7 linked regions of the Macaca mulatta genome follow. The protein of the gene in region 4 interacts with the protein of the main gene of each other region in a pairwise test. Links are inferred from orthologs where the notes say so. Each region holds a gene or a part of one and is shown on either strand. Other genes may lie near its edges.

The links.
Region 1: the proteins of UBE2K (region 4) and RNF125 interact in a two-hybrid assay, tested with the Homo sapiens proteins (2 studies listed by BioGRID and IntAct). The link is inferred for Macaca mulatta from reciprocal best matches to the Homo sapiens genes UBE2K and RNF125.
Region 2: the proteins of UBE2K (region 4) and DTX3L interact in binary tests that used the Homo sapiens proteins (3 or more experiments, as listed by UniProt). The link is inferred for Macaca mulatta from reciprocal best matches to the Homo sapiens genes UBE2K and DTX3L.
Region 3: the proteins of UBE2K (region 4) and TRIM2 interact in binary tests that used the Homo sapiens proteins (3 or more experiments, as listed by UniProt). The link is inferred for Macaca mulatta from reciprocal best matches to the Homo sapiens genes UBE2K and TRIM2.
Region 5: the proteins of UBE2K (region 4) and RNF138 interact in binary tests that used the Homo sapiens proteins (3 or more experiments, as listed by UniProt). The link is inferred for Macaca mulatta from reciprocal best matches to the Homo sapiens genes UBE2K and RNF138.
Region 6: the proteins of UBE2K (region 4) and RNF111 interact in binary tests that used the Homo sapiens proteins (3 or more experiments, as listed by UniProt). The link is inferred for Macaca mulatta from reciprocal best matches to the Homo sapiens genes UBE2K and RNF111.
Region 7: the proteins of UBE2K (region 4) and RNF167 interact in binary tests that used the Homo sapiens proteins (3 or more experiments, as listed by UniProt). The link is inferred for Macaca mulatta from reciprocal best matches to the Homo sapiens genes UBE2K and RNF167.

The regions. Positions count from the first base shown.
Region 1 is NC_133423.1:60,484,171-60,488,281, forward strand, and holds the start of RNF125 (E3 ubiquitin-protein ligase RNF125), read right to left. Parts: upstream 2,801-4,111; 5' UTR 2,762-2,800; coding exon 2,598-2,761; intron 1-2,597. UniProt on the Homo sapiens protein: E3 ubiquitin-protein ligase that mediates ubiquitination and subsequent proteasomal degradation of target proteins, such as RIGI, MAVS/IPS1, IFIH1/MDA5, JAK1 and p53/TP53.
Region 2 is NC_133407.1:161,203,460-161,207,682, reverse strand, and holds the start of DTX3L (E3 ubiquitin-protein ligase DTX3L), read left to right. Parts: upstream 1-1,423; 5' UTR 1,424-1,592; coding exon 1,593-1,779; exon of another isoform or gene 1,780-2,002; intron 2,003-3,034; coding exon 3,035-3,246; intron 3,247-4,223.
Region 3 is NC_133410.1:161,858,927-161,862,426, reverse strand, and holds part of TRIM2 (tripartite motif-containing protein 2), read right to left. Parts: intron 2,752-3,500; coding exon 2,567-2,751; intron 1-2,566. UniProt on the Homo sapiens protein: UBE2D1-dependent E3 ubiquitin-protein ligase that mediates the ubiquitination of NEFL and of phosphorylated BCL2L11. Plays a neuroprotective function. May play a role in neuronal rapid ischemic tolerance.
Region 4 is NC_133410.1:38,909,936-38,914,134, reverse strand, and holds the start of UBE2K (ubiquitin-conjugating enzyme E2 K), read right to left. Parts: upstream 2,801-4,199; 5' UTR 2,752-2,800; coding exon 2,689-2,751; intron 1-2,688. UniProt on the Homo sapiens protein: Accepts ubiquitin from the E1 complex and catalyzes its covalent attachment to other proteins. In vitro, in the presence or in the absence of BRCA1-BARD1 E3 ubiquitin-protein ligase complex, catalyzes the synthesis of 'Lys-48'-linked polyubiquitin chains.
Region 5 is NC_133423.1:60,411,823-60,415,901, forward strand, and holds the start of RNF138 (E3 ubiquitin-protein ligase RNF138), read right to left. Parts: upstream 2,801-4,079; 5' UTR 2,712-2,800; coding exon 2,602-2,711; intron 2,061-2,601; exon of another isoform or gene 1,955-2,060; intron 1,171-1,954; exon of another isoform or gene 1,068-1,170; intron 1-1,067. UniProt on the Homo sapiens protein: E3 ubiquitin-protein ligase involved in DNA damage response by promoting DNA resection and homologous recombination.
Region 6 is NC_133412.1:36,301,860-36,305,967, reverse strand, and holds the start of RNF111 (E3 ubiquitin-protein ligase Arkadia), read right to left. Parts: upstream 2,801-4,108; 5' UTR 2,412-2,800; intron 2,375-2,411; exon of another isoform or gene 2,076-2,374; intron 1-2,075. UniProt on the Homo sapiens protein: E3 ubiquitin-protein ligase. Required for mesoderm patterning during embryonic development. Acts as an enhancer of the transcriptional responses of the SMAD2/SMAD3 effectors, which are activated downstream of BMP.
Region 7 is NC_133421.1:6,490,643-6,494,765, forward strand, and holds the start of RNF167 (E3 ubiquitin-protein ligase RNF167), read left to right. Parts: upstream 1-1,323; 5' UTR 1,324-1,516; coding exon of another isoform or gene 1,517-1,547; intron 1,548-1,632; exon of another isoform or gene 1,633-1,807; 5' UTR 1,808-2,047; intron 2,048-2,094; exon of another isoform or gene 2,095-2,193; 5' UTR 2,194-2,230; coding exon 2,231-2,314; intron 2,315-2,397; coding exon 2,398-2,478; intron 2,479-3,613; coding exon 3,614-3,739; intron 3,740-3,848; coding exon 3,849-3,936; intron 3,937-4,122; coding exon 4,123-4,123. Other genes in the region: SLC25A11 (mitochondrial 2-oxoglutarate/malate carrier protein), read right to left, coding at 84-290, 375-527, 1,132-1,226.

The sequences.
Region 1 (4,111 bases), on a different chromosome or scaffold from region 4:
CTGAAACTGTAGCTTCAATATGGGATAATAAAATACAGAAGGTTCATTTGCATTTATTCATTTTCCAACTTAATTTCAATGGAAAAGAGTAATTCATTTAGAATGTACAAATGGCATTAACAACGCTCATAATCTCTACAGCAGAAAAGACTCTGGTTAACATTTATAAAGTGGAAGGGGCCCAAGTAAGTTTGCCAAAAGGAGGAATATGGAAATTCTGCCCACAGCTAGAACAATGGACATAGATTTGTCAAAACAAAGAACAGTAAAGAGAGGAAAGGCAATTTGTTCAGCCCTTGTAATGCTATTTTATGGTTATTTTTCCAGTTGCTAGTTTCCTATTCACTTTAACAAAGAAAAAGATTAAACAAAAAATTTAACATTTTGCAAACTTACATTATCCTTTAGTAGAAGGAAAAATATTGTAAATGGTAAGTTATACTATTCAAAGTCCAAAACAGGAAAACAATCTCCAGTCAGATAATTGAATTAGCAGCAAAGCGGTCTATTCCAAAAAGAATCTTCAAAATGCCCACTGTTTATGTTTTGCACAACTTCAAAGTTTTAATGCTAATAATGATTCAATTTAAATGGAGGTATCTTTAGGCTGTTATTGCCCTAAAATAATCAATATATTTTATGACTCACACAGCCCATCTTGGCTTCCAGATTGGCCTGTGGATATTACGTTAATGAGCTACATCTGGACAGCTGAGCAACAATATTAGTAATCAGAAAGGAGGGTAAATTTAAGCCTCGAGTTTTAAGAACAAAGCTGAAACAACAGGCCTCGAAAATACAGCTACGAAATAATGCCCAAAGCACTCTTTATTTATACATTGTGCAGGCTGCACACTTTTTTCCCTGGCTCACAGGTGGGCAGTGGTGAAAACTGCTTTTCAGATACAAGGCTATAGGTATTAAGTATCACCTAAGGATTCCAGGTGTGAGCCACCATGCCCGGCCTCAAAACTTCTGAATGCAAGTGCACAACATGTTTTTAAGGACTACCTAAATCCTTTCAAAAGTGATCCTCAGAAGCAATAATGCTATTTCTTTCTTCCTGCTAAGCCAAATGCATTTCTTTCTTCCTGCTAAGCCAAATACAAGTACATGCCACTGTGGTATCACACAGGGCTTCATCATACTATAGTCACCCTTCAAAGGACATTAAGTAGGCTTCCGCTTCTGATCCGTGCAGACACACACACACACACACATCCACGAACAAAATTCAAACCAAAGAGAGAAGGCTGGGTGCAGTGTCTCACACCTTTAATCCCAACACTTTGGAAGGCCGAGGTGGGTGGATCAATTGAGGTCAGGAGTTCAAGACCAGCCTGGCCAACATGGTGAAACCCCATCTCTACTCAAAATTCAAAAACTAGTAGGGTGTGGTCGTGGGCGCCTGTAATCCCAGCAACTCGGGAGGCTGAGGCAGGAGGATCACTTGAGGCGGGGAGACAGAGGTTGCAGTGGGTGGAGGTTGCAGTAAGCCGAGATCCTGCCACCGCCACCGCACTCCAGCCTGGGCGACAGAGTCAGACTATCTCTCTATCTCTCTCTCTCATACACACACACACACACACACACACACACACACACACACACACACACACAAAGTAAACAGAGAGCACGAATTCACAGATCCAACTCCACCAGTTACTCAAGCACACATTAAGCATGTGCCAATTTTATATAGGAACTTTGTTTTTAAACTCTTCTTAGAAACGACCACGGCTTTGCACCAACTGTGAGTTTTAGCTAAGTACTATGCCGTTTTGAGAAAGTTATTTTACTCTGTAATTTCTGCCGGTTTGGAGAGACGGCGTGTAAAGCAGGTAGTCTGCCACCTCCTGTCACGTTGTGGCTGGGTTTTGGAGGAGTACATTCAGGGGCTTGCGGCTAACGTCCAAGCCCCACCCTAGCAGGTTGTTAAACTCTAACGACTTGTGGAAAGTCACTCGGAAGCTCCAGTTTGACTTGCTCTTTGAGGGGATGGGTGTCTGTGTTGGGAAAGGGTAGCAGGGGTGGGGGTGGAAAAACACTTTGCACAGACCCTTGTTTGCTTAAGACGAGCCTCTGTGGGCATTCTGGGAACACGTGCACAGCTCCAGCAAAACAAAACGGACCCGGGTTTCTGGGGCAGAGGGAAGCGCAGCCTGTTCCACCGTGTTCAGCGGGGTACCTGCGCTTTGAGGGAGCCCCTGCCTTGCAGTTGGAGCTCGTTTCTTTTTCGTGCCCGGGCGAGCGCTCGTTCTCCAGCCAAGAGCACCCTCCCCTGTTGGCGAGCCCTGGCTCTGGGCGGGACCCGTGCCTGGATCCCCTTCTCTGGAGCTCCGCACCTGGACTTCGGGAGGAGGCAGCGCAAGGGGGCTGCAGGGCCCGATTGTTTCTTTTTTCTCCTCCCGAAATCCTGTGTCACCTTCCGACCGGCGTTTTCCCCGTGGCCCCGCACCCGACGGGTCCAGGTTTCTCTCTGCAGCAGTTTCCTAAGGCGCTGTCTTCCGTCCCCCTCCTTCCCCACACCATGCCCTCAGCTTCCCGACATCGCCCTCCTTAGGGGTGGGCCCAAACCGAGCTCCCCTGGCACTTACACGTGGCCACAGCGGGTCCGGACAGGCTGGTGTAACACCTCAAGGCACACGGCGCAATCGAAGGACGTGACGGGCAACTGCGGGTCCCCCCTGCGCTCCAGGGCCCGCGGGGTGGCAGAGGGGGGAGCCGATTTGCCGCTGTCGCTGCTCAGCACGGAGCCCATCGCTGTGCCTCTCGCCCAGACAGCTGCCAAGCACTCAGTGCCTGCTGCAGGGTTGTTTTGTTGTCGTGCGGTGGAGGAAGGAAGTCCCGGCCCAGCTGCGATCGCCGCCTCCCAGCGCGCGCAGCTCGCGCAGCCAAGAAGCAACCTCCGCCGATGCGCCCAACCCTGGTCTAGGGCAGGGCGAGTGCGCGGCCGCGGGGCTGAAATCTTCGGCAAACCGCCTAGGTTAAGGCGCGGAGGCGGAGGCGGCAGCCGCCAGGTGCTTTGTCTTGTGGTATTGGGAGGATTGAAACCTGAAACCTCAACTGCAGAGAAGAGGACTTGAGGCAGTAGTAAACCTTCCAAGCTGTCACACACAGCCTCTTTCCCCACTGTCAGAAGTTAAGTGCGGGCGTGGCCATGCTTAATGGTAATCAGAGAACAGCCGCTTGTAAGGACCATCCTCCACTGTTGTAATCACAATAAGCTGCAAAGATTGAACTATGACCTATGATTGGACGTCTCCTAAGACGGTGCTATCATTACTCTGTCGTCCAATCAATAGTCCATTAATGGAGAGAGAGCCTGGGTAGTGGAAAGAGTTCTGGAGATTCAGATTCCGATCCTACCTCTCTTACAGATATTCTAGTGCTAAACCCTGCCGTCTCCAGTTTCCTCTGCGGCTCAGGATTTCCTCTGTTGTTTGTACTCTCCCCATCCCGCCCTTTAAATGTGATCAGCCGGGCGCGGTGGCTCACGCCTGTAATTCCAACACTTTGGGTAGGCCGAGGCAGGTGGATCGCTTGAGGTCAGGAGTTCGAGACCAGCCTGGCCAACATGATGAAACCCCGTCTCTGCTAACAATGCAAAAATTAGCCGGGCATTAATTCACACTTTTTTCGAAGACTTATTTCGTGCCCACTGCACGCCAGACTCAGTTCTGGTGATGGAGACACAACTGTCAACAAGCAAACAAAATCCCAGTTCTCACAGAACTTACTTTAAAAAACAAAAACAAAACTTTACTTTGAGGTAATTATAGATTTGCATACAGTTGTAAGAATAGTACATAGTATATAATACACATATACAATAATATATAATGTAACACATGGGATATAATAACGCATATAATACATGTATGTATTTAACAGGCCGTAAACTTCATCCAGTTTACCCCAGGCTTTACTTTTAATTAGGAGATATAGGCCGGGTACCGTGGCTCACGCCTGTAATTTCAGCACTTTGGGAGGCTGAGGTGGGAGGATCACTTGAGCACAGGAGCCAAGATCGCGCTACTGCACTCCATCCTGTGCGACGGAGCGAGACCCTGTCTCAAAAAACAAACCAAGCCGGGGCAGTGGCTCACGC
Region 2 (4,223 bases), on a different chromosome or scaffold from region 4:
ATTCCATTGTATAGATATATTATTATTATTAAACTGCTGGTCCCCCTATTTATGGACATTAAAGAGTTACCTATCTTTTGCCATTGTAAACAAGGCTGTAAAGAACATCTTTGTACACAGGTCACTTCACACAGGGGCTAATATATCAATGGGACAAATCCCTAGAAATGGAACTCCAGAATCAAAAAGCATATGCTGTTGTAATTCTGACAGTACTGCCAAATTGCTCACAGTGAAGACTGACCCATTTCCAGTCTTACCAGCCATGTGCAAAAACCTTATCTCTGTCCTCTCTGCCGCCAGTCATCCCTGCTTGTAAATGTGTCTTCCACACCATTGTCAGCACCATATTTCTAAAATGCATATCTGGCAAGTCATTTTCTTGCTTTCCCTGCTTACAACCCTTCAAGTCATCTTCACTGCTCTTCAAAGCTTTTCACCATCTAAATATGTGCTGTCCAGGGTGGACTATCAGCCTCACGTAGCTACTGAGGCTACATGTGGCCAGTCTGAATCGAGATGTGATGTAAGTGTAAGAAAAACACTGGGTTGCAAAGATGCAGTATGATAAAAAGAATGTAAAAAGCTCATTATGTGCTGAAATGATTAAGTTTTGGATATGTCAAGTTAAATAACATCATTACAATTAATTTCATCCGTTTCTTTATCCTTTAAAAAATATGGCTGCAAAAATTTTAGAATGAACATACTGGCTCACATTGTATCTCTGTTGGACAGTGCCCATCTAGGTAGGCCCTCCCTCCCTCATCCCCTCACCCATCTCCTCTCCTCCCAGGCCCCAGGCCCACTCTGTGCTTCAGACCATAGTGGTCCCTAAGCCTTAGGTGCTTTTCCCCCCAACCCTGTCCTCCCCATCTCGTCGCCACACTCAGTTTATTAAGATGCTGCTTGAAACTTCTCCTTGGAGGCCTTGAAGAAGTTTTGCTCCCTGGTTCACAGGTCCGCCTCCCCTCACCAGCCCTTGACATCAGGGCCTTGCTCTGCTCTTTGGGCAGCAAGAAACAATTCAGTGCTGTTGGTTAAATCAAGCAATGGAGGAGAAAAGCCCCCAGGAGCCTGTCTAAAGGGTAGAGTCGGAGGGAGGGAAGGGGTAACAGGTCACAATTACCAGATGAACACATTCAAATTTTCAAAAATGGGTAAGTTTAACATGGATTCAGATGTGAATTACTTTTTAGCATCAAATAATAGTGATAACAGCAGTAAGAGTTACAAAGAATAAGAAACACAGGAGAAACTTACTTTCTTTGCATAGTCTACTCATAAGGGAGGCCTGGCCCTGGGATCCCGGTCCGCGCCCGCCCCCACTCTCCGCCCCCCCGTACCCCGAGCCTGCAGGAAAGGGGACCCCGAGGGCCCAGGGGCACCGGACCTACCCACCCGGCAGACCACTCGCCTCGGTGCAGACAGCACAGGGAAGAGGGGGAAGCAGCTCTGCTGGGAACAGGGAGGGACCTCCGGGGAAGCGAAACTGAAACTTTGCGCCTAGTCGGCGGGGCGGGCCGCGCCTTTATCCCAGTCCCGGCCCAGCGGCGTCCCGGAGCCCCCGCGCCCTCCCGACGCGCAGAGCCATGGCCTCCGACCTGCGCCCGCCGTCCCCGCTCCTCGTGCGGGTGTCCGGGTCCGGCCTCCGGGTACAACGGAAGCTGGAGAGCTACTTCCAGAGCTCTAAGTCCTCGGGCGGCGGAGAGTGCACGGTCAGGCCCCAGGAACACGAAGCCCCGGGCACCTTCCGGGTGGAGTTCAGTGAAAGGGCAGGTGAGCTTCGGGCGGTCGGGCTGCGAAAGCCGAAAGCCGTCTCTGGGGTCCCGACTCCCGGGTTTCCAGGCGGAGCCAGTTCCAGCTGACCTAGGGGAGAGGGCGGAAGAAAGTATGCCACTGTGCGGTGGCGGACAGGGACGGGGCCCTGCTGCCAAGAGACTCACTGAGACAGGGAACACTCGGTGGAGGACAGGGCCTCACATGTGCCCGGTGCGGATCCGGCTAACCCCGCCTTAGTGTGGATGTTTTCCATATCCTCATTCTAACTTAATTTCTCAGCTGTCATCTTCCATCCTCCAGATGCCTGTCAGCTGCCGTCCTTGTCATTCAGGGATTCCACTTTTATGTTTTAAATAATGGTTCCATTGTTCCATCCATTAACAAAAGGATGTTCCATTTTGTATTTTTGAGGATTACAAAAGTGATATATGCTCACTATAGAAATAAGAGAAAAGAGTAAAAAAGAAAACAACCTGGAGATAAACAATGTGTCCATTTGGTGTATTTTCTTCCTGCCCTTTTTTACGAATGCCAGCAAACACACGTGTATTTACACAATTCGGAGTCTGCACTTTTGATACTTGCTGCTGTAACTTACCTGTATAATGAGTATTGAAATGGGAGACCAGGATGGGTGCGGTGGCTCACGCCTATAATCCTAGCACTTTGGAGGCCGAGGTTGGTGGATCACTTGAGGCCAGGAGTTCAAGACCAGCCTGGCCAACATGGCGAAATTCCGTCTCTACTAAGAATACAAAAATTACCTGAGTGTGGTGGTGTGCACCTGTAATCCAAGCTACTCCGGAGGCTGAGGCAGGAGAATCGCTTGAACTCGGGAGGCAGAGAGTTGCAGTGAGACGAGGTCGCACCATTGCACTCCAGCCTGGGTGACAGAGTGAGACTCCGTCTCAAAAAACAAAACAAAACAAAAAAACAAAAAGGGAGGGAGGGAAATAAAGAAGGAAGGAAGAAAGGGGAGACTGGAGACAGTTTCAGAAACATGACGTTTAATGAGTGGACAATGTTCCATTGTCGTTAAGCTTTCACTTCTATAGTAAAACTTAATCTGCACACTTCAGAACTCTTAATAGCTCCCCAATTTCCTCCATCGCCAACCCACCATTCCGGGGTGCAGTGAGCAGCCTTACTGGGAGGTGCTGGGGCAGGGTACAGACACAGGAATGACAGGATTACTTGAAATCTCTCCCATTTTTATGTATGTATATGTGTGTGTTTAATGTTTCCGCTGAAGCTAAGGAGAGAGTGTTGAAAAAAGGAGAACACCAAATGCTTGTTGACAACGAACCTGTGCCCATTTTCCTGGTACCCACTGAAAATTCAATAAAGAAGAACATGAGACCTCAAATTTCTTCACTGACACAGTCACAAGCAGAAACACCGTCTAGTGATACGCATCAACATGAAGGACATATTCCTAATGCTGTGGATTCCTGTCTCGAAAAGGTGAGTATTGAAAGAAGGAGCTGGCTGTACCTGCGCCTCCTCTCCAGTCACCAGCCTCATGTATTATTGATCCAACACCCATGTGCTGGGCACATACATGGGAGCCAGGCACTGTTTTAGGCACTGGACACAGAGACGAACACAACAGACAAGGTCCCTGCTCTCAGGCGGCTCATATTGGGGCCCAGGGCATGCACAGAAAGACAGTAGGCAAGTGAAATAATTAGAACCATTTTATTTATTTGGAGAGAAACAGGGCTAGGGCGAGCAAAGGGAAGATGGGGGTGGTGTTACTTCTTTTTTCCCCCAACAAGACAGAGTCTCACTTTATCACCTAGGCTGGAGTACAGTGGCATAATCATGGCTCACTGCAGCGTTGACCTCCTGGGCTCGAGCGATCCTCTCACCTCAGCCTCCTGAGTAGCTAGGACTACAGGTGCCACTACACCCAGCCAATTTTTTTTTTTTTTTTGGTAGAAACGGAGTCTCACTATGTTGCCCAGGCTGTTCTCAAACTTCTGGGCTCAAGCGATCTGCCCGCCTTGGCCTCCCAAAGTGCTGGGATTACAGTCATGAATTACTGCGCCTAGCCTGGTGCTACTTCTAACCAGAAATCAGAGACAACTTGACTGAGGAGGTGACGTTTGGCCTGCAACTTGAATGATGACAAGATTCATTCAACAATAGATATCCACTGCTTAATGTGTTCCAGGCACTGTTATAGGAGCTGGGGAGGCAGCCAGGAACATGGCAGACTCTGCTTCTGGGGATGGCACCTTCTAGTGAGAGAAACAGACAATATTAATAAACAAATAGATATATAATAAAATGTCTGCCAGTCATACCTGCTAGAAAGAAGAATAAGAAGAATACGTGACAGACAATGACAGAACCACCATTTAAAATAGGATGTCTGGAAAAACCTCAAGTGAGATGACATCTCTAGCCAAGTGGATTTCTGGGGGGAAAATGTCCTA
Region 3 (3,500 bases), about 120 Mb from region 4:
TTCTCATGTATAGCAACTGTCACTGGTTTAATTTCACATTAGTCTGAGCAATTAGGATGTTAATGACTGGCTCCTCCACTAGGCTGTGAGTTCCAAGGGGCCAGCAGCTGTGTCTGGCTTTGCTCTCCTTCAAGCCCGTTGATGCTGTTTTGGAAGATGTGGGATAAGAGAGTGGCTGTAAGTTGCTCACTGAGTAGCCAGTGTGAATGTCCAGCAGAGGCTGAACATGGGGGTCCTAGAGCTCACTCTCCCAACAGTGAGACAAGCTGTAAAGTTTTGTCTCAGCATAAACAAAAATTTCCTCACCAGGCGCAGTGGCTTATGCCTGTAATCCTTGTACTTTGGGAGGCTGATGTGGGCAGATCACGAGGTCAAGAGATCGAGACCGTCCTGGCCAACATAGTGAAACCCCGTATCTACTAAAAATACAAAAATTAGCTGGGCATGGTTGCGTATGCCTGTAGTCCCAGCTACTCGGAAGGCTGAGGCAAGAGAATCACTTGAACCCAGGAGGCGGAAGTTGCAGTGAGCTGAGATCATGCCACTGCACTCTGGCCTGGTGACAGAGCAAGACTCTGTCTCAAAAATTTTAAGGAAAGTTGCCAGCACCTTCAACACCTTCAAACAGAAATCTTCTCAGCTGGACGCAGTGGCTCACACCTGTAAGCCCAACACTTTGGGAGGCCGAGGCAGTTGGATTGCTTGAGCTCAGGAGTTTGAGACCAGCCTAGGCAACATGGAGAAGCCCTGTCTCTATAGTCAGGCATGGTGGTGTGCACCTGTGGTCCCAACTACTCAAGAAGGTGAGGTGGGAAGATCTCTGGAGCCTGGGAAATTGAGGCTGCAGTGAACTGTGATTGTGCCACTGCACTCTAGACTGAGTGACAGAGTGAGATCGTGTCTCAAAATAAGTAAATAAATAATAAATAAATAAAATAAAATATAAAAGAAGAGGAAATCATCTCAACATGCATGAGGCTGGAACAATTTTAACACAGAGCATTCTGTAAGGACTTGCTGTAGCAGGATCTCGCAAATCTCCACCACTAGCTATTGGATGGGGAGTGGGAGTAGGTTGGGCTAGACCCCTGAAGAAGATAGCAGGGGCAGACCTAGGGCAGCCAGAGTGTTGCTTCTCACCTGTCAGGGTGAGGGAGTAGGACCCAAACAATACATAGGCTGGACACTGAATCCTGGGATATGGGGCAATTCTGCCAAGCTCAGACTGAGTGGCTCTGAACGCACTTCTATGGAGAGTGTCTGCCAAGCTATGCTGACTGCTGCACGTCAGGAAACCATCTTATCATGTGTGCCCAGGGACATATGAACGATTAGCTGGTATTCATGTTTTAGGTGTACCTATTAAGGGGATGGAGGAATCACACTCTAATTATTTTTGGAATATGAATTACCAAGCACTTAAGCCAAAGTATAAAATGAATAAAATAAAAAGTGCTCTATATACCACCACTAAAACAAACTAAAACCCATATATGCAAGCACACGCACACACACAAAACCCCACACAACCCCAAACAAACAAAAAGCCACAACTACTAGTAACAAATCTACCTTCTCCTTCCATCCATCACCACCATGAAGGATATGGTTATTCTTTTGCAATTGAACCTTGCAGAGTAAATCAACTCTAACAATGGTCAGTCAGATAATAAAGACATGTTAAATCAGATATTTGGGTAATCAGCATAGATTTGAAGCCATTTGAAATACCGATTTCCAGTTCTATCATAGGAAGTAAAGCATTTTCAGTATGTATATTAAATAATGATAAAAATGTATTTAACAAAATGCTATAAAACATAATTACCATATTTATTTTTAAGAAAGATATATAACTTCACTAGGGAAATACTTATAAGTAAGATAAACTAATTACTAACAAACTTATACTTACATAGTAAGTTAAATAATGGAGTAAAAGTATATTTTGATAACTGATTAACGCCCCTCTCCAAAAGCAAATACTCTATCAAGAAGATAAATAAGGAAGTCTGTTTTCACATATAACAAATTACATAGTCAGGTAATTTATTTAATATATATATATATTTTTCTTTATCTAAAACATCATAGCATTCAAATGTGACATTAATATGTGTCTGAAGAATCTTTGGAAAAGAAGCTATACCCTTTGAAGTAACCACTCATATATGCAGATGTTTTACCTGATTTGTTATATGGGAGGAAACGATAGATTTTTTTAATTGACTCTCAAAGACCCTCTGTAGGGATCTGCTGTGGACAAAAACTGTTTCACAAAGAACAAAGGGAAGTTTTAAAAGATTTTTCAACTTAACATTCTTATTTAATGCTCCATCTCTTGTGTAAATGAATCAGTAGTTACTAGATTGCTTTCTCCTGCTTATAATGGTTTGAAATAAAGTAAATTATTTGCAACTCATGATTCCGTTTTTCAATGTCTGGCAAAGGCACAAGAGATTAGTTTTCTCTCAAAGGTAACTGTAGATTCTGGGAAAGAATCTTGCAGTAGGTTGTAGGAGGTCAGCCTGTGAAACTCCCTTCTCCAAGCACAAAGGAGGCTTACCTCTCGCAGAAAGTGTGCAGACAGGGGAGAACCTTGGGATTCTTGTACCGTTCCAGGCATATACTGCAAATCAGAAACTGCTTGTCAATCTGGCGCACCACAGGACTTGGGATGTTGGTGCCTTCACTGGCCATCCTAGACCACTGACATGGGGGGCCGGCTGTCTTTGACCCTGCACGCTGCTGCTGTCAGACAGAAAATCAAAACAGAAAAATATATAATGATCTGTATGAACAAGTCAATTACTGGCTCTTTCACCGTAAGCATTGTGTTATAAATTAAGGTAGAAGTCAACGTTAGTGACCTCAAAATGACCAATAAGCCAACCTTTATTGCTACAGGAGTACAGTGAGCTCCCTGTTGTTTGTTTTGTAAATCAATAAAATCCTCACATGTTCGCCACGCAAACAAAACAAAAGATGGCGTGTTGTACAAAGAGGTATGTTTGCTAGGTTTCAAAGCAGTGGTGACTTAGGGGATAAATACTTTATATAGCTATGTCTGCTTATGCCTTTAGCCATGACCATATTTAAACATATATTTACCTTTTGTATTCTTATTAAAATTGAATATGTTTTTCCAACTATTGTAGTTGAAGAGGTTGGACTGTGTCACACCAAAATATGTCACTTTGATATAAGGATTATTTTGAGCTGAAAGCTATATAGAAAGAACAGACAGAAGAGGACCTCTCTGCCCTTCCCCATCTGCCTAAAAGCGGGGCATAAATTTCTCTTTTGTAAAGGAAATGTCCATTTGTAAAGGTGCCTCTCTCTCCGGAGCCAGGAAGAGAAGTCTCTTAAACACTGAAGACTGCATGGAGATGATCTTGCAAAATGATCTTACTAAACAAACCTTATCTACCATACATTCCAAAAATTACTGCCCCAGGAGTCCAAACCCCTCTTTCTTTTGTCTAGGCAGTTCTCCACAA
Region 4 (4,199 bases):
AAATCACATTCGTATGACACAAAATTAAAAAAATATCTATACCCCATGCCCCAGAGACCCAATTTTTCTACACAGAAAGCAATCAATTTTACCAATTTCTTGTGAAACCTTTTGCCTATAAAGACAAATACACATATTCCCCTCTTTTTAACACAAATGGTGGCTTCTTCCACACTATTCTGCATCTTGCTTTTCACATTTATCTTGTTGGCTGTATTTTAATTAACACACTCTAAGAATGGTCACTTATAATCTCTCATAACCAGAATCCAGTAAGCGTCAGCTATCTTTACAAAGGCACTTACAAGGCCACCCCAAAAAGTCCTTAAATCAACCAGTGTTCTTAGTAAACGCAAGCATACAAGCACATGAAATAAATTTTGGTAAAGTGCAGATTTACCAAAAAAGTGACATGATGAAATATTTATTTGATCAGCCATTCAAAAGACTGGATTTACACCCTTAAAAAGGAAACACACGGACTATACTACAAGTCTTCAATGAGTTGAAAATAATCCACTTATAGAACTGGGGCTACTAAAATATCAAAAAATACTGGCGAAAATAAGCTATTTATTGGTTATATTTATTGCAAGATTAAATGATGTGACTCTTTCCTAAATGTTCTTTGCAACTGATTTTCCCAAAAGAAGTTTCCTTCCATATTTATACAGGTACTGTTCTAAACAACACAAAACAAACAAAAAACCTGTCTGCATTTCCTGTTTTCTTCTTCTGAAACACTTTTGATGCTTATCTGAAGTAAGGCTTCCTCATCCCTTATGTATAAAGAGCAGTGTTTTTTTGTTTGTTTGTTTGTTTGTTTTAACAATATGCATTACTAGAGAGCAATACAAGTATTTCTGGTAATCTTCAACTTAAGTACTACGAATCTCACAGTGAAAAGTGAGCTCATAAAAAGCAAAGAGACCATATTAATTACCAAAGCAGTAACTTACCACTTGTAACAGAAAATAAAGCACTAAAAGTCTATTAAGTTTCAGGCTTGTACAACCTTATTAAACAAGAAATGTTTTAGGTTGTTGGCAACAATATTAGCTGCTATCTTTCATTAGGAGTATGTATGTCAGCTAACCTGGAATACATTTTCATATTAAATAAGTTAAAATTGCTGTTTCACTGTATCAGTACAGACACTTATTGACTCTATTTCTGCGCTGTACCACAAAATACAAAGTCATCCTTCCATTCAGAGTTTTGGCATATGAACACAGAGGTCAGAGTTCATACACATGCTCTGTAAAACCGATCATGACTTACATACTACTACTTTCAATAAGTCTGTTGTCATTTTTGAATTTTAAATAATTTTTCTCCATGTATACTCATCACATATTTAGAATGCTGAATTTCACAAATCATTATTGACACTATCAAAGTACTAACCGTAAAAGAAAAACAAAAATAGCAATGATATATTCAATAATGGTATGTGAATCTTGAAAATAATCATTTTCTGTATTACTTTTTGTTTAATTCATGTGGGGAAGACAATCTGGCATTCTTGTTCATCTTGGTACGACACACTGTACTAATACTTGCATAATTTTGAGTCAAATTACTAGAGCATTGTGAATATCTTACATAAACGTAGTACTAATGTATATAAATTCTGCAGAACTTAAGAGCAATGGCAGGCAATTTTTTTGAAAATCTGTTAAGTCGTGATAAATCTACTCAATAAGGAGATGAAATAATGTATTAATCTGGTGAAATCTCACATTTTTAATAGGTCTACTTTTCAAAAGTAAGAATCAAGTTACCTATGAGGGACATCATAATGAAGTTTCGTGGCACAACACGAGTCACAGAGGCACTGTCTTAGGACAGTCTGATCGGTAACTTGTAAACAATATTTTGAAATAAACTACTCATACAACCCATTATTTTTTTCCTAACTAAAAATATTTACATGTCTTTAATACACCAAACACCTCGCCTTTGCCCACTCAAAAAAGATTGTGATGTCAATAAAAATGAGGCCTACGAATTTGGGGGTTAAGTGGAAGACATAATTATCTCGTTTGGAATAACTTGCTAACTCAGGTGAAAATTCCCTTACCCCCGCCACCAAATAAGACAGTATTCTATTATGTCTCCCTTTGACTCCTAACACCCAACTAAGAAGGACTAACTCTGAATGTCCTTCCTTTCTAATCAATACCTTTGGACTCACCGCTCCTCCCCTACGAAAAGAACAGTGAAGGCCTGACAAGCAATAACCCCAAATACCCTCAAAAGTGTGGGCCTTTGAGCAGCACTGCTCTTCGTATCCAGTTACCACCTTTCCCCTTCCCCCAACCCACTTCCCGGGTTTTCTCAGGCTCGGCCTGCTCCCTCCCCACCCCACAGCCACATTTCCAGCTGTGGCCACCGCCTCGGGTTCTCTCGTGAGCTTCCATCCCTCCGAGGAGCTCCCCCCTGTCCATCAGCTCCCCAAACCGTGTTCCACCCCAGACCACCCGCCCGCGAGACCGTTCATCCTAGCGCTCTGGGAGGGGAGGGGAAGGCGGCGGAAGGAGGAGGGGAACACTGCTGCTTCCTCACAGGCAGAAGGGCGGCCGCAAGGAGGGCCACCCAGGGACTACCGAGGATATCGGGGTCGCAGCTGGGAGGACCCTCCCGCTCCAGGCAGAGATGGGGGATATCCGGGAGTTCATTTCTGACCTCCTCGCTCTTCAGCACCTCCTTGAACTCCCGCTTGATTCGCTGCACCGCGATGTTGGCCATGTCTCCGCCCGCAGCTGATTCGTACCCGCCTCCTCCGCCACCGCTACGACCACCGCCACCGCCGCCACCTCTTCCTCCACCGCCTCCTCCCCCGGCGATTCAGACCCGAGCACACGAACACTGCCACTACCACCCCGGCCGCCGCGCTCGCCTCAGTGTGGAATCACCTCCGCGCCCGGCCACCAAAATGGCGCCGGGTCGGCGCATGCGCACGACGCTGACCCGGCCGGGCGGCGCAGCCGCTCCCGTTGTAGCCCCCATACGCCCGAGCCACGAGCTCGCGTCTCGGCTGGGGCTGCGGCCGCGTGGCTCCGCCCTGCCGGCGTCTGGGGCCGCTAGGGCGCGGCTTCCAAGGTGGCCGGCCGTAGCCTGCCCGCCCGGTCCTACCCGGCGCCTCCGCTCCTGTTTAAACCCAGGTGCTGTGGTCGGGGCTTCCAGCGCTGGCCTCTGACCGAAGGTTCGCGCGCAGCCGAACGGGTTCCCGAAGCCGCACTCGGCTGGAACGCCGCCCTGACTCAGCTAGACCCGGAACCCGGAGGCTGAACGCCGTGTCTAGCGCAGGAAAACGCTCTCGCGGATCTCGGTCCGGCCCATTTTCAGTTGGTGTAGCCCCAGAAAATCCACTGCAGTCGTTTTTGTTCTGCAACATTTATAGTACCACGATTATTCCCATCATCTCAGGTAGCACAGATTATCGAATTAAGGCTGGTTATTGTTGGATCAGATTGGGTTTGAGACAGGTACTCGGTGGAGAGGCCTGAGGGTGGGTTTACAAGTCAGATGTTGATCTTTGACCTATTTAATACCGAGCTTGACACACACACACTCTCTGTCACACACACACACCACACACACACACACTCCTGTGCCCATCCCTAGAGTGTGGAGCGGGCCTAAGACTGCGTTTCTAACAAGTCTCCCAGTTGCTGCTGCTGTTGGTGCTGGTTCGGGGACCACACTATGAGAACCACTGAACTGAAGCGTGTGAAAATTCATATATATTAAATTGAAAACTGGAGAAATAGAAATTATAGTGCCCTTCAGGGGACTGGGATGGGGGAGGGGGAGCCTTATTTCTGTAAACCTAGGCCTACAAAGGTGCTTGGTGATAGTAGGCACTCTATAAATATTGAATGTGTAAATGAGTACAGATAAGAGTAAAACGCTTTTGCTGGCGCGGCGGATCACTTGCAGTCAGGAGTCCGAGACCAGCCTGGCCAACATAGTGAAACCCCGTCTCTACTAAAAATACAAAAATCAGACAGGTGTGGTGGCAGGCGCCTGTAATCCCGGCTATTCTGGAGGCTGAGGCAGGAAAATCGCTTGAACCTGGGGGGCGCAGGTTGCAGTGAGCGAGATCGCGCTACTGCACTACATACAGCCTGGGCCACAGAGCAAGTTTATGTCTCAAACAATACAAAACAAAAAGTATAAAATATTTTAAGTAG
Region 5 (4,079 bases), on a different chromosome or scaffold from region 4:
TGTACTGTCATTGAAATGGCAATTAAAATTTTTCATTTTCTAACTGATCCACAGTAACCCAAAGTCCTTATCATTTCAACTCTCTATTCATGAATCAAAAATTGATTTTGTAGCCAAATATAAATTTCTTTAAAGGCACAGGTCTGTCCTTTGTGAAGAAGGCAGGGTAAATGACATAGATAACTATGTTACTTAAAAAATAGGTCAGGCGCCATGTCTCATGCCTGTAATCCCAGCACTTTGGGAGGCCACGGCAGGAGGCCAAGGCAGAGAATGACTTCAGCCTGGGAGTTCAAGACCTGACTGGGCAACATAGTGAGGCCCTGTCTCTATAAAAAAGAAAACAAAATTAGCCAGGCATGGTGGCATGCTCCTGTAGTCCCAGCAACTTGAGAGGCTGAGGCGGGATGGTTGCTTGAACGGGGGAAGTCAAGGCTGCAATGAAACGTGATCACACCACTGCACTCCACCCTGGACAACAGAGCAAGACCATGTCTCGAAAAAATAATAATTTTTAAAAATTCTCTCCAATTCCCCCACTAAACTCCAACTGATTAAGATCCTGTTCCTCCATTACCACCTCTTCCAAATTAAACTTTTTTCTCCCTCTGCCTATTCTTTAATTCATTGTTCAGGCAGAACTGTCTAAGCATAATGAGTTGATTTGAGAAAGGTCCTGAATTAAATACAATCATCTCCAACATTTTCCACAGTCTTGAGGTCAAACCAAATTATAGTCCTTGATTTAAAATGTCCCACAAGGGAAGTGGACTAGAGCAATCTACACGGAATTTTGGGGAGTGCTAAGAAATTACAATGAGGCCCATGAGGTCAATGACCCAAAGGATAATTAGAATGATTCTATCTAAAAAAAATACCTGCTTTGTATATATACAGTTAGCAGCTATTACAACTTCCTCTCACCTTGCCCTCCTCCCTCCCTTTTATCTACCCACTGCCAACACAGCACTTAAATTTTTTTATATATTGGAAAGGGACCAAGTTATGCTAGATTAAAGGTGAAAGATCTATATTGTGCCCTAGACACCTCCAAACCTTTTTTTTCATGTCAAATGGGTAATGTGTTGACCTTGTAACAAGGTTTGAGGGTGGCACATCTCACACATGCCTGTGAACACTCAATCATCACATTATGAACTACAAAAGGATCCCTCAAAACATTTCTCTAAGAATCTGCATTTGTTGCACAAAATAATAAGATGTCATTCATCTCCCTTAAAGAGCGAAAGCGTAACTGGCATAATCTCTATCATGAAAATCCACACACTCTTGGCTCACACAACCAGCACAAAATAGAAATAAAGTAGACAGTGCAGTTAAGATTGGGGAACAAAATGAGAAGAGTTGGTATCAAGAAAACAACCAGAGTAAGGGCATTTGCAATTAAGACCCAAAAATTCAATCCATCCTTTACAAAATTATAGAGCCTTACCTCAAAAAAAAAAAAAAAAAGTGGAAAGAGAATGAAATACATTTAGAAGGTTAGTCAATTCTTTTCGGTTGTTTGCAAGCACACGTAACTTTCAAGCCTGAGTGTATTTTTTAAAAATAAAGATTTCCAGGCCCCACCTGCCCAAAAATTCTTTTGTAAGTTTGGAATGGAGCCTGGGAATTGGTATGTTTACTTAAAAAGCTCCCGGGGGACTCTGATCATCAGTCAGGTCTGTCAGAAGGGCTATACACCTTTTCAAGAAGGGCGCTTTCCAACCCTTACTCACACCCTAGCCGTCCATAAAATCTTATCAAAGTTCTTGTAAATATGCCTGCCAATCAAACGCACGCGTTATCTCACCCAACCCCTTTGTGCTCTCCCCCACCCTGGGGAGCATTTCACTTTCGGCCCATTCCTCGTAACAGAAGTCTGCCTTTCTCCTCTCCACCCTTGTATTAATCAAGTAATAAGCAGAAAGGTAAAACAAAGGGGAACGCTCACTTCCATGCCCGAAAATCCTGTCGGTTTTCACAGACCAGAGAAGAAAACTCATTCTAGATCCCTCTAACACACAGTGGACTGGAAACGAAACAAAACGCTCTGGAGGGTGTTCTGTGAAGCAGGGTTGAGGGGAAGTTACAGAAGAGCTCTTGGACCGAGGGGACGCACCAAGGTTCTGAAAGAGGAAACTTGAAAGCTGGGCAGGTCGCGGGGCGAGCGGGCCCGCGTGGGCACCGCCGGCCGCTTTTGACACTCGACACCCCAACCTTCACCCGGGTTGCTAAGAAACAAAAAGGCTCCAAGTTCCCTGCAATTCCTCCCGGGCCTGGCGGAGACTACAGGGGCCTCCGGGGCCTGAAGACGCCGCAGGGAACGGCCTGGCCACTGCCCCGGGGGCGCGAAAGCCAGGGAGAGCGGGAGAGCGGGAGCTCGGGCTGAGGGGGCAGGACGCGCAGAGCGGGCCCCGAGGCTAAGGAGGAGGGCGGCCCGGGGCTCTGAGGGGCAGGGAACGGGACCTCGGGGGGCAGCGACGCTCGAGCAGGCCGCGGCGGGCTCGGTTCCCGCCAGGCGGCAGCCGGGGGTCCCGGGCCGGAGGCCGGGCCTAAGCAACAACCCGGCTCCGCGCGGGGGAGGGGGCGTCTACTCACACGTGCTGACAGGCCGCGGTCCGCACGGGCGTTTTGAGCACCTCCTGACAGACGGGGCAGTAGAAATCATCTTCGGTGTAGGACGTGGCCGCGGAGAGGTCCTCGGCCATGGCGGGGGATGGGGAAACAAGGCGATGGCGACAGCGGCAGCGGCCGAGGTGACGGTGGCGGCCCGGGGCCCGACTCCCTACGCGAACCCGGAGGGGGGAGGGGGATCGCGTCAGGATGCGGCGCGCTCCAGGAAGGGGGCGGGGCCCTGGGTAGGGCGGGGCCGAACGCAGAGACGCGACTGCCGCACGCGCCGGGCAAGAGGCGACCCCTCCCACGGCTCCTCCCACAGGGGCTGGATGGGGGCGGTGCTTGGCGGGAGGCTGGGCTTGCAGCGTGCCGTGGGCCCGCCCGGCTCGCCCCCAGGCCGCGGCCTCACGCCCCAGGCCACGCCCTCACCGAGCTCCAGGCGCGGGCTGTCGCTCCGCCCTCAGCCGTCGTCTTCGCCCAAGGTCTTCCTTTTCACCGTTTTCCCGCTCTTCTCCTCACCCCGACCCCGAGCCCCGAGCCCCCAGGTCGTGTCCGCGACTTCCTCCCCGCCTCGCTTCCCGGCACCCCGGCCCCTCCACGCTTCCGCCGGGGGGACCCTCACCTAGGAGCCCCGAAGCGGTGCTGTGGACGGAGCTGCTTTTCCTTCACGTGTTCGTAGAGACGCGGCCCTGCGCTTTCCTCGGGCTTCCTGTCCGGCCGCCACTACCTTCGCAGCCGAGGCCCCGGGGCAAATGGAGGGCGGCCTGCGCTGTGCTTATCGGCCCCAAACGGGGCCGGACCCGAGGCTCATGGTGTAGGGAGATTCGCCCGCCCCCGCCAGCAGCTCTCTCTTGGCATCGCGCTGCCTACAGCCTACTCGGCCGTCACCGAACGCGGGAGCGCCTGGGAGCTGGGACGGGGTGTGAAGCGCGGCCTCTATAGCAACCGGCGCGTGGCACCTTCTGCGGGTTGTGACATAAGCAGCTGGGCGCCCGCGGTGACACCTGCGCCTCCCCGCCCTGCCTCCCTAGGCCCGGGACCCCAGCCACCTCTCCTGTCAAATACATTGGGCTTTTCAGGAAGTTTTCGTCAATGTTCAAGATTTAGTCTTTACTATTTGCCCCACCAGAATGTTTTGATCTTGTCAAGATGTGTTATAAACAAATATTTGTTATAGGATTTTAATCCTTTGGGGACAGGATTAAAGTTTCCTTGAGAGGATGTCCACTTTCTCCTTTAACGGCATGACTGATGCTTAAATACGGTCGCAGATGGAGTCTTCTACCCACACCTTTGGGTTGATTTTTGATTTTTTCTTTTTTTTTTTAGCTTTGAAGAGAAATGCTGTAGAAGCATGGACGTGGATTTTCACCAAGGTTATTCACTAATTTAAGTGTTTTATTTTTATTCTTTTTTTGTTTGTTTTTTTGAGACAGGTACTCACTCTATCTCCCAGGCTG
Region 6 (4,108 bases), on a different chromosome or scaffold from region 4:
CCAGTGTGGTCTCGAACTCCTGACCTCAAGTGATCCACTCGCCTTGGCCTCCCAAAATGCTGGGATTACAGGGGTCAGCCACCACACCTGGCCCTCAGTTTCATCATAGGTTTTACACACACACATTTCATGAGGAAATTGATGCTTTCTGTACAGCATTTCTTTCCGGGGATTTGATTACGACGAATAAAACAACGAATACCAAAAACCTAACTAGATATACAAACCGTTAGATTTGGGACCTAGAGAAAACCAGTTATCTATTCTACAATTCTCACTTAAACAGAGAGACCTGAAGCCCAAGGAGGGTTAACAATAAACTCGGGGATCTAATGTATAGCAAGCAAAGATAGATCTAAAATCGAGATCTTCTGTCTCTAGTCCTATATTATTTCATAAGATAATGTTACCCATAGAATGTTAATGTCAGGTTATAACATATTTTAACTTCTATCATTTTTCAGATAGTCTCTTTTATTTCCTACTGAAGTCTTAGCCCAAAAGGGGAGAAAAAGGCAAAAGAAGGGCACATAAGTATGCCTCAAGAAAAGCATAATACAGAAACCCCTCTTTAAACTATAACAACAACAACAACAAAAGCATCTAAAAATCTAAACGGTTTGATTCAATTAGTTTCTTTTATATTTTTTATTTTAAAGTAAAATAACTAGGAGTATCTGCTAAATGACTATACCTTAGCTTTATACAAGCAAGGTGCTGTTCTCTTAAACATCAGAATAGCTCTCTCTCAATAATCTGTAGAAACGGAGTACCACAGTGAAATTCGTTAAGGTGTAACCTCTTTTGTAATGCATTTTTCACCAAAATGGAGTCACTTTGTTTATATCTTTCTTTAAAAACCAATTCTATGTCAGGTGAAATAACTAGCAAACATGTGGCCAACAGACACCAAACAAAGTTAAAAAGTGACAGAAGGATCTGCACATGATATAGCACTCGTGATAAACAAGGGGAGACTCACTCTTCCTACTTTTTCCTATAATATTATTTAGACCAATTTACAAACACCCTCATCAATTCTTAGAATACTATTGTGAATCTTTGGTCACAAACAAATGAGCAGGAGAGAGATGATAGTCATTTGTCCAAGGTTAAATGGCAAGAAAGTGTCCAAAATAAGATAAATATCAAGGCTTTAAAAAAAAATCAACATAAAATTATTTTAAAAGTAAAAGGACCTCCTTCTTATCCATCTGTTTTACCTCACAAACATAACCAGACTAGGGTGAAACAATGTGGCTTATATTGACATGAAGATTTTTACAAAAATACATACAGTAACAAACGATCAAAAGGTGTATCTTTACTGTAATAAAGCTAAGTCCAGTGTTACAGAACTTGTGTATGGTAATCTCAAAATCACATTCAAGCATTTACAAGCATCACACACACACACACAAAAAAAAACAAAAATGAGAAAGGAAATGGAACCTTAGCTTATCTTTTCCCAGTTTGTTCTTTTTAGTTGAAGAGGCCTCTAAAACAAGAAAATTATAAATAAAATACCAAATGAAATAAAGTTTAGATTGTCAGGTTCAAAAGCTACAGGAACTCCTACAAAACGTAGTCTATGTCAGTTGGCATCTTACCATTCAAGAGAATTCTAAATTAATGCCGCACATAAATCAAAAAACAGGAAAGCTTACAACAATACAATGGAGTCACCCCACACTATACACATGAACAAATTAAATCAATACCCTATACTTCCTGGTATTTTTTGAATAATCAAAACTTACACTTGGGTTGAGAAATACCCTCTGTAAACATCTACTATAACCTATTTAAGAACTGTTGTGACAAATCTATTTCTGCTGCACTGAACAGATATTCCCACTACAGCACTGACACTGTCTCTGATAAATTATCTAAGGACAATAGTAAAAACATTCAGCTTCTTTTTAAATGACCAACAAGACAACTCCATACAAAATCAGACGCGTCTGTATTTCAGCTGTTCCGCGGACTACGTTTCCTTGATCACAGCAGCAGCAGGCGGCTCCCTAGCCGTCAGGGCTGACTTAGCGCCCCCCAACTCCCCGGGTCCGGGTTACCTTCATCACTCCATTGTCAAATCGCACTCCTACGCCTCGGTCCTCAGCCCCCATCCTGAGACTCTAGGGAGAGTCGGAAGAGGGAGAGAAATCCCCTCACCCACACTTCCTCAATGTAGGCTGTGGGTGTGTCGGTAGACGAAAGCCTTGCCCAAACACAAATCGTCTGCGGAGACCCAGACCCTAAATCACCACTGAGCCAGAGATAACCGGCCGGTCGCCGACCCCAGCCTTCCGCGGCCGCAGCCCTTCCTCTTTCTCCCCTCCAGGCCGGCCCCTCCCCCGTTGCGCGCACGCGCGGCCTCCAATGGATCCCCTCCCCCCTGTTCCCCTCACCTTAATCATTAGCCACCCTCTTCTCTTCCAGGGTCCGGGAATCACTGACCCAGGAAGGAAGACAGAAATGTAAGGCGTAAAGAGTAATGCGTCGAGAGCCAGCGATCTGCGCCTCAGACGTCGGCCTAACAGGCCCCTAGAGTCAAGAGCAGTGTCTGTCACCGCCACCAAAACTGTACGTGCGGCAGCGCCTGGACTCGGCCCAGCTAAGCCGGCGTGGGTTCAGAATGCCTAATTTGGTCCCACAAGAACTCCTTCTCTGAAGCTGCGGGCGTTTCTACGCTGCGCAGACCGAACACCTCCTCGCCGTCGCCGCCACTGCCGCTGCTCCCCTACCGCCGCCGCCGCCGCCTAACCAATTCCTCCCCTACCGAGGAGAGCACGACACTAGGGGCCTTTACGACAGTTCGGAAAGTGAGAGCGCAGTAGCCTTCACGCCTCCATTAACATCTGTTTGTTTCTGCGCTTGCTCGATTCCCGTTTCTCACCGTCCCGCCCCCTCGGTCCCGACCCTCCCCCTTTGTACTGGTTTTATCAGTCTGTTGGCGAAACTGAAAGGTGTCACAAAGCTCATTATTTAATTTTCTTTGGTAATTATGCGTTCAACATTTAAGCCAAATCTTGACTACATCTTGGTTCATTTTTTCGTAACTAAAAATTAACCAACTACAGAAATTACTATATTTACAGATACACGTAAACAGAAACATCATGAGTTAGTGTCTTTCACAACAAATGATACCCATATCATATGCGCTAATTACATAAAGATCAGGGCACCTCACTGTTAATGCTTCCGGAATCAGATCAAAAGTGGTAACAGATACCTCCTGCGAACTCGGGCTGTACAATCGCATAAGCCTCCTTGTTTATTTTATAAAAGTCAGTAGATAACAAATGCGTCATTATATGCATTAGGAGGATAGACAGAGGATGAGCCTTAGAGTCCATCAGGCAGACTTCCTTTCGAAAGTCCAGTGATGCCACTTAAGAGTTCTCTGATTCATGAGATCCTTATAAATCTTAGTTTCCTCCTCTATAAATTGGGAAAACGTATTGACCTCAAAAGGTTCTTGTTAGATTAAATGAGACAGTTTATATAATGCTCTGAACATTACTCGCCACTTAAGTGTGCACTAAACATTAATTCCCTCCCTTTGCCATCAACTCATCTTTTTCAGTACTTTTTTTGTTCACTCATATTCTTCACATCGTTCAGCAAACAAATGATTTTGGCCAGGCGCGGTGGCTCATGCCTGTAATCCCAGCACTTTGGAAGGCCGAGGCGGGTGGATTACCTGAGGTCAGGAGTTCAAGACCAGCCTGGCCAACATGGTGAAACTCCTTCTCCGCTAAAAATACAAAAATTAGCCCGGTGTGGTGGCGCACACCTGTAATCCCAGCTACTCGGGAGGCTGAGGCAGGAGAATCGCTTGATCCAGGATGGTGGAGGTTGCAGTGAGCCACGCTCAAGCCTTGCACTCCAGCCCGGGTGACAGAGGGAGACTCCGTCTCCAAGAAAAAAAAAAAAAAAGGCCTGGCGCGGTGGCTTACGCCTGTAATCCCAGCACTTTGGGAGGCCAAGGTGGGCGGATCATGAGGTCAGGAGATCGAGACCATCCTGGCTAACACGGTGAAACCCCGTCTCTACTAAAAATACAAAAAAATTAGCCGGGCGTCGTGGCGGGTGTAACCCC
Region 7 (4,123 bases), on a different chromosome or scaffold from region 4:
TCTAGATGTGGGATAGAAAAGGGGTCCTTTCATTCTAGATTCCAGGGAATGGGGCTGGGGTGAGGCTCAGACTTGGAACTCACCGGCCATCCGCAGTCATGCGGATAAGAGCCACTTCGGCTGGTGTTCCCACAAAGGCACCAGTGGCACCTGCCGTCATGCCAATCAGAGCCTTCAGCAGAAAGCCAGGGGGAGTACCATCAGCCCCAGTCAAGCGCTCAAACAACACGGTATAGATGCCAAGGCGGGTAGTGGTGTAGGTGGCCTGGCGCAGCAGGCCAGCCGACAGCCTGAGGAGCAGAGGGGTCAGCATATCAGGCCAAGGTCTGGAGCTACCAACCCACAGCCTACCCTCCATCCTGAGGCCCCAATACCCGGTGTAAATGCCCCTCAGGCCTTCTGCCTTCAGGATACTGGTGAGGGCATGGAAGCTGGTTTTGTACTCTCGAGTCTTGGCCCCTTCCCCACTCAGCTGCATCCGGTTCTTCACCAGGTCCAGGGGCTGGACAAAAACTGTAGCTCCCATCCTGGGGGAAGATAGAGGTGGAGTGAAGGGATTCACTATTCCAGATCTACCAGTGCCCACTGGAGCCTGGCAGCAAGAGGTTACAAAGGTCAGGGCCTGCCATGCGATTCAAGAATCAGGATGCTGGTGAGCATGTGTATAAGAGTCTATATGTACACCGAGTGCAACGGGTCTGAAAAGTCTAGTTGTCCAGTCGGGGCCATGCAATGCAAGTGCTCCAAGCAGCTTCATGACAGTCAAGCAGTGACCTGGGGCTGCACGCAGTCCGACACAGGGAGGGGACGAAGGGGCATCCAAGATTTAGGACTCCAGGTAGTCCTCCAGGAGCCATTTAATGGCCTGGAATCCCCTGTAGCCCGGCCAAGCTTAGCAATGCGCTGGGAAACTCAGGTGGCCCGGCGGGGATTGTGCAACGACCCCGCATGCAGTCCAGAAGGGGCCTTGCATGGGGCCCTAGCAGCCCATTGGGGAACTCGTAATACGCTGGAGATCACGCTGACCCCGTGCCGGCACAGTTCACTGCAACAGACCCAGAGATGAACCGGGCCCGGTTCCTTGCACCCGTCCCTTCCTCCTCTTTTCCCATCCCTGGGGCCTGAGCTTACCCGGCCAGGCCCCCAAACAGGAACTTGATGGACTTAGGGGAGGTACGGGGCTTCCCGTCCATCCCGCCGGCCCCGGCACTCGCCGTCGCCGCCATCGCCACTCAATGGCCCTCGGCTCCGGGTCCCGTGCGCGCGCGGCCCCGCTCGCGCCCAAGGTGACACCGCGCGCGCAACAGGGCGAGGGCGCGCGCACGCCCCTCCGGCTCTCAGGTCCGGCACCCGCTGGAAGCCAGCGCGGGCGCAGGCGCGCAGCGCAAAGGCGGCCGGGAGTAAGGCGGAGCTGAAGGAGGAGCTTGAGGGAAGCGTGCGAGAAGGGGTGTAACTGATTTAGGAAACCAGAGGAAAGGCGCAGTTTTCACCAAATTGGAATCGCGGGAAAATAGAGATGAGTTTGTCTCAAGGTCTCGCGAGATCGAGTGAGTACGGCTCACCAGAGTAGGAGAGCTCTCGCGATAGACACACCAAGCGTTCAGCAGCGAGGGGACGGGGGAGGTGGGGAGCACTCTCGCGAGATTTGAAGGAGCGGTGGCGGCGGCCAGCGGGAGGAGAGGTTTGTAAACTAGGTGGCTCCAGGTTTCCGGGCACCTTTATTAGGTCGTCTTCTGGGCCACCAGTGCTCCTTCCATCTCCACAGGCACTCCCTCCATCGCTGACCTTTCTTTAACTGGCCTTTTAGGACCGAAAGTTCTTCATCTCAAGCATCAAATGCTGAAAGCGGCCTGACTTTCTCTACCGGAAGCCCTTTTCCAGAGGCTGGGAACACGGCCCACCTGGCAGGAAGTCCCACCTCCTTGAGCTCCGCCACCCTTCCCGAAGTTTTTCTGTCACCTGTGTTAGGCTCCGTCCCCTTTCCCGGTTTTATCCCCGTACCAGAAAAGGATACATTTAGTGCCTCTCACCCAGCTCCACTAAACGGGTTGGATATCTCATTCTTTGAGTCGGGGTTCCTTCCCCGGCGCCTCCATGTAGCTGGGAAGTGGGACCTGGGGGTGGTTGGACCCCTGGGATCCTAAAGGAGGGGCAGGGAGGGCGCAGAACTCCGCTTCTGCTCCTTGCTACCAGGACGAGCGGCCTCCTCAGCCTCTTTCCTCCCGCTGCCATGCACCCTGCAGCCTTCCCGCTTCCTGTGGTTGTGGCCGCTGTGCTGTGGGGAGCGGCCCCCATCCGGGGGCTCATTCGAGCGGTGAGTCCGAGGGACGGAGGAGGCAAGGGCGCTGAAGGGAAGGGTTGCAGGCTGAAGGGGAACATTGCCTTTTTTGTCCGCAGACCTCGGACCACAATGCCAGCATGGACTTTGCAGACCTCCCAGCTCTGTTTGGGGCTACCTTGAGCCAAGAGGGACTCCAGGTGATTTTCTTTCTTTTCTTTCTTCCTCTCCTTCCCCCCCTTTCCTTCCTTTTCTGTCTTTTTTCTTTTTTTAATATTTAGCAAGATCTTCCATCCTGGGCTGGGGTTGGGGAGGTTTGTCCTGGGTGAAACTGGAGGTAGGAAAATCAAGTTAGGAACTGAGCACGTATAGTGTAGAATCCAGAATCCAGAGGGAGAAGACAAAGTGTCCACCCCTGGAACTCCGAGGTTATCAGGGAGACTGAAAGTGGACAGAGACGGAAGGTAGGATCAACGGTCCTTATCAAGAGGGTCTCAGAAGCTGTTGCTTGTATGACCTTGGGCAAGTTAATTTCTCTTTGAGCCTTAGTTTGTTTTACTGTAAAATGGGATATTTTAAGTTTTCCTAGGGTTATTGTGAAGATTAAATTAGATACGCAATTTTTGTAGTACTTCATCCCAAAGACTGCCACATAGCAAGAACTCAGTTGGGCCGTAGTAGCAGTGGAGTTGTTTGTGAGATGGGTAATTAGAAAATTGAAGAGGCCGGGCGCGGTGACTCACATCTGTAATCCCAGTTCAAGACCAGCCTGGCTAACATAGTGAAACCCTATCTCTACTAAAATTACAAACATTAGCTGTGCATGATGGTGCATGACTGTAGTCCCAACTACTTGGGAGACTGAGGGAGGAGAATCACCTGAACCCGGGAGGTGGAGGTTGCAGTGAGTCGAGATCGCACCACTGCACTCCAGCCTGGGTGGCAGAACGAGACTCCATCTCAAAAAAAGAAAAAGAAAATTGAAGGGAAGGGAGTGTGTTCTGTGTAAGTATTGGAGAGGAAACTGTGAAACAGAACTTGAGAGTCAGAACATTAGAAGGCAAAGTAATTGCATTAGCTTGCGGTTTAGGGTACAGATTAGCCCATCTGGGACAGCGAGAGGGATGATGGGAGAGTTTGGTGAAGGGATGTTTTATGTCATTACCTTTTCAAGAGGCTAAGAGAAAGTTGTGAGGTTGCGATGCTCAGACCCCAGGAAGGAGAAGGAAGTGAGGATAGAGGATGTGCAGCATGTGGGCTGGTGTGTTTGGTGGCCCTTGTAGGAGTGAAACCTAGGGAGGAGAAATCTCACTGTTGTTTGCTTCCATCCTTCAGGGGTTCCTTGTGGAGGCTCACCCAGACAATGCCTGCAGCCCCATTGCCCCACCACCCCCAGCCCCGGTCAATGGGTCAGTCTTTATTGCGCTGCTTCGAAGATTCGACTGCAACTTTGACCTCAAGGTTGCTGAATGTGGAGTGGGAGCTGGGCAGCTGAGGGTAAAAAAAGGCACCAGGAATGAAGACAAGTCAGGCCTATGATGGCTCCTTGTCCTCTGCCTTGTCTTCCTAGGTCCTAAATGCCCAGAAGGCTGGATATGGTGCCGCTGTAGTACACAATGTGAATTCCAATGAACTTCTGAACATGGTGTGGAACAGTGGTAAGGCTGGAGGAATCTATACAGCTGGGCTTTCAGTAGGACCCAGAGATGGTGGGAAGGCTGAAGGCTTCAGGAAAAGAAGCCAATCCTTTAGGTGGGTTGGGGCGAAAGTGCCAGATGCCAGGGTTCCCAAAGGATTTGAGTAGAAGGTTGTGAGTCCCCAGAGTAACACCTTGATCCCTGCAGA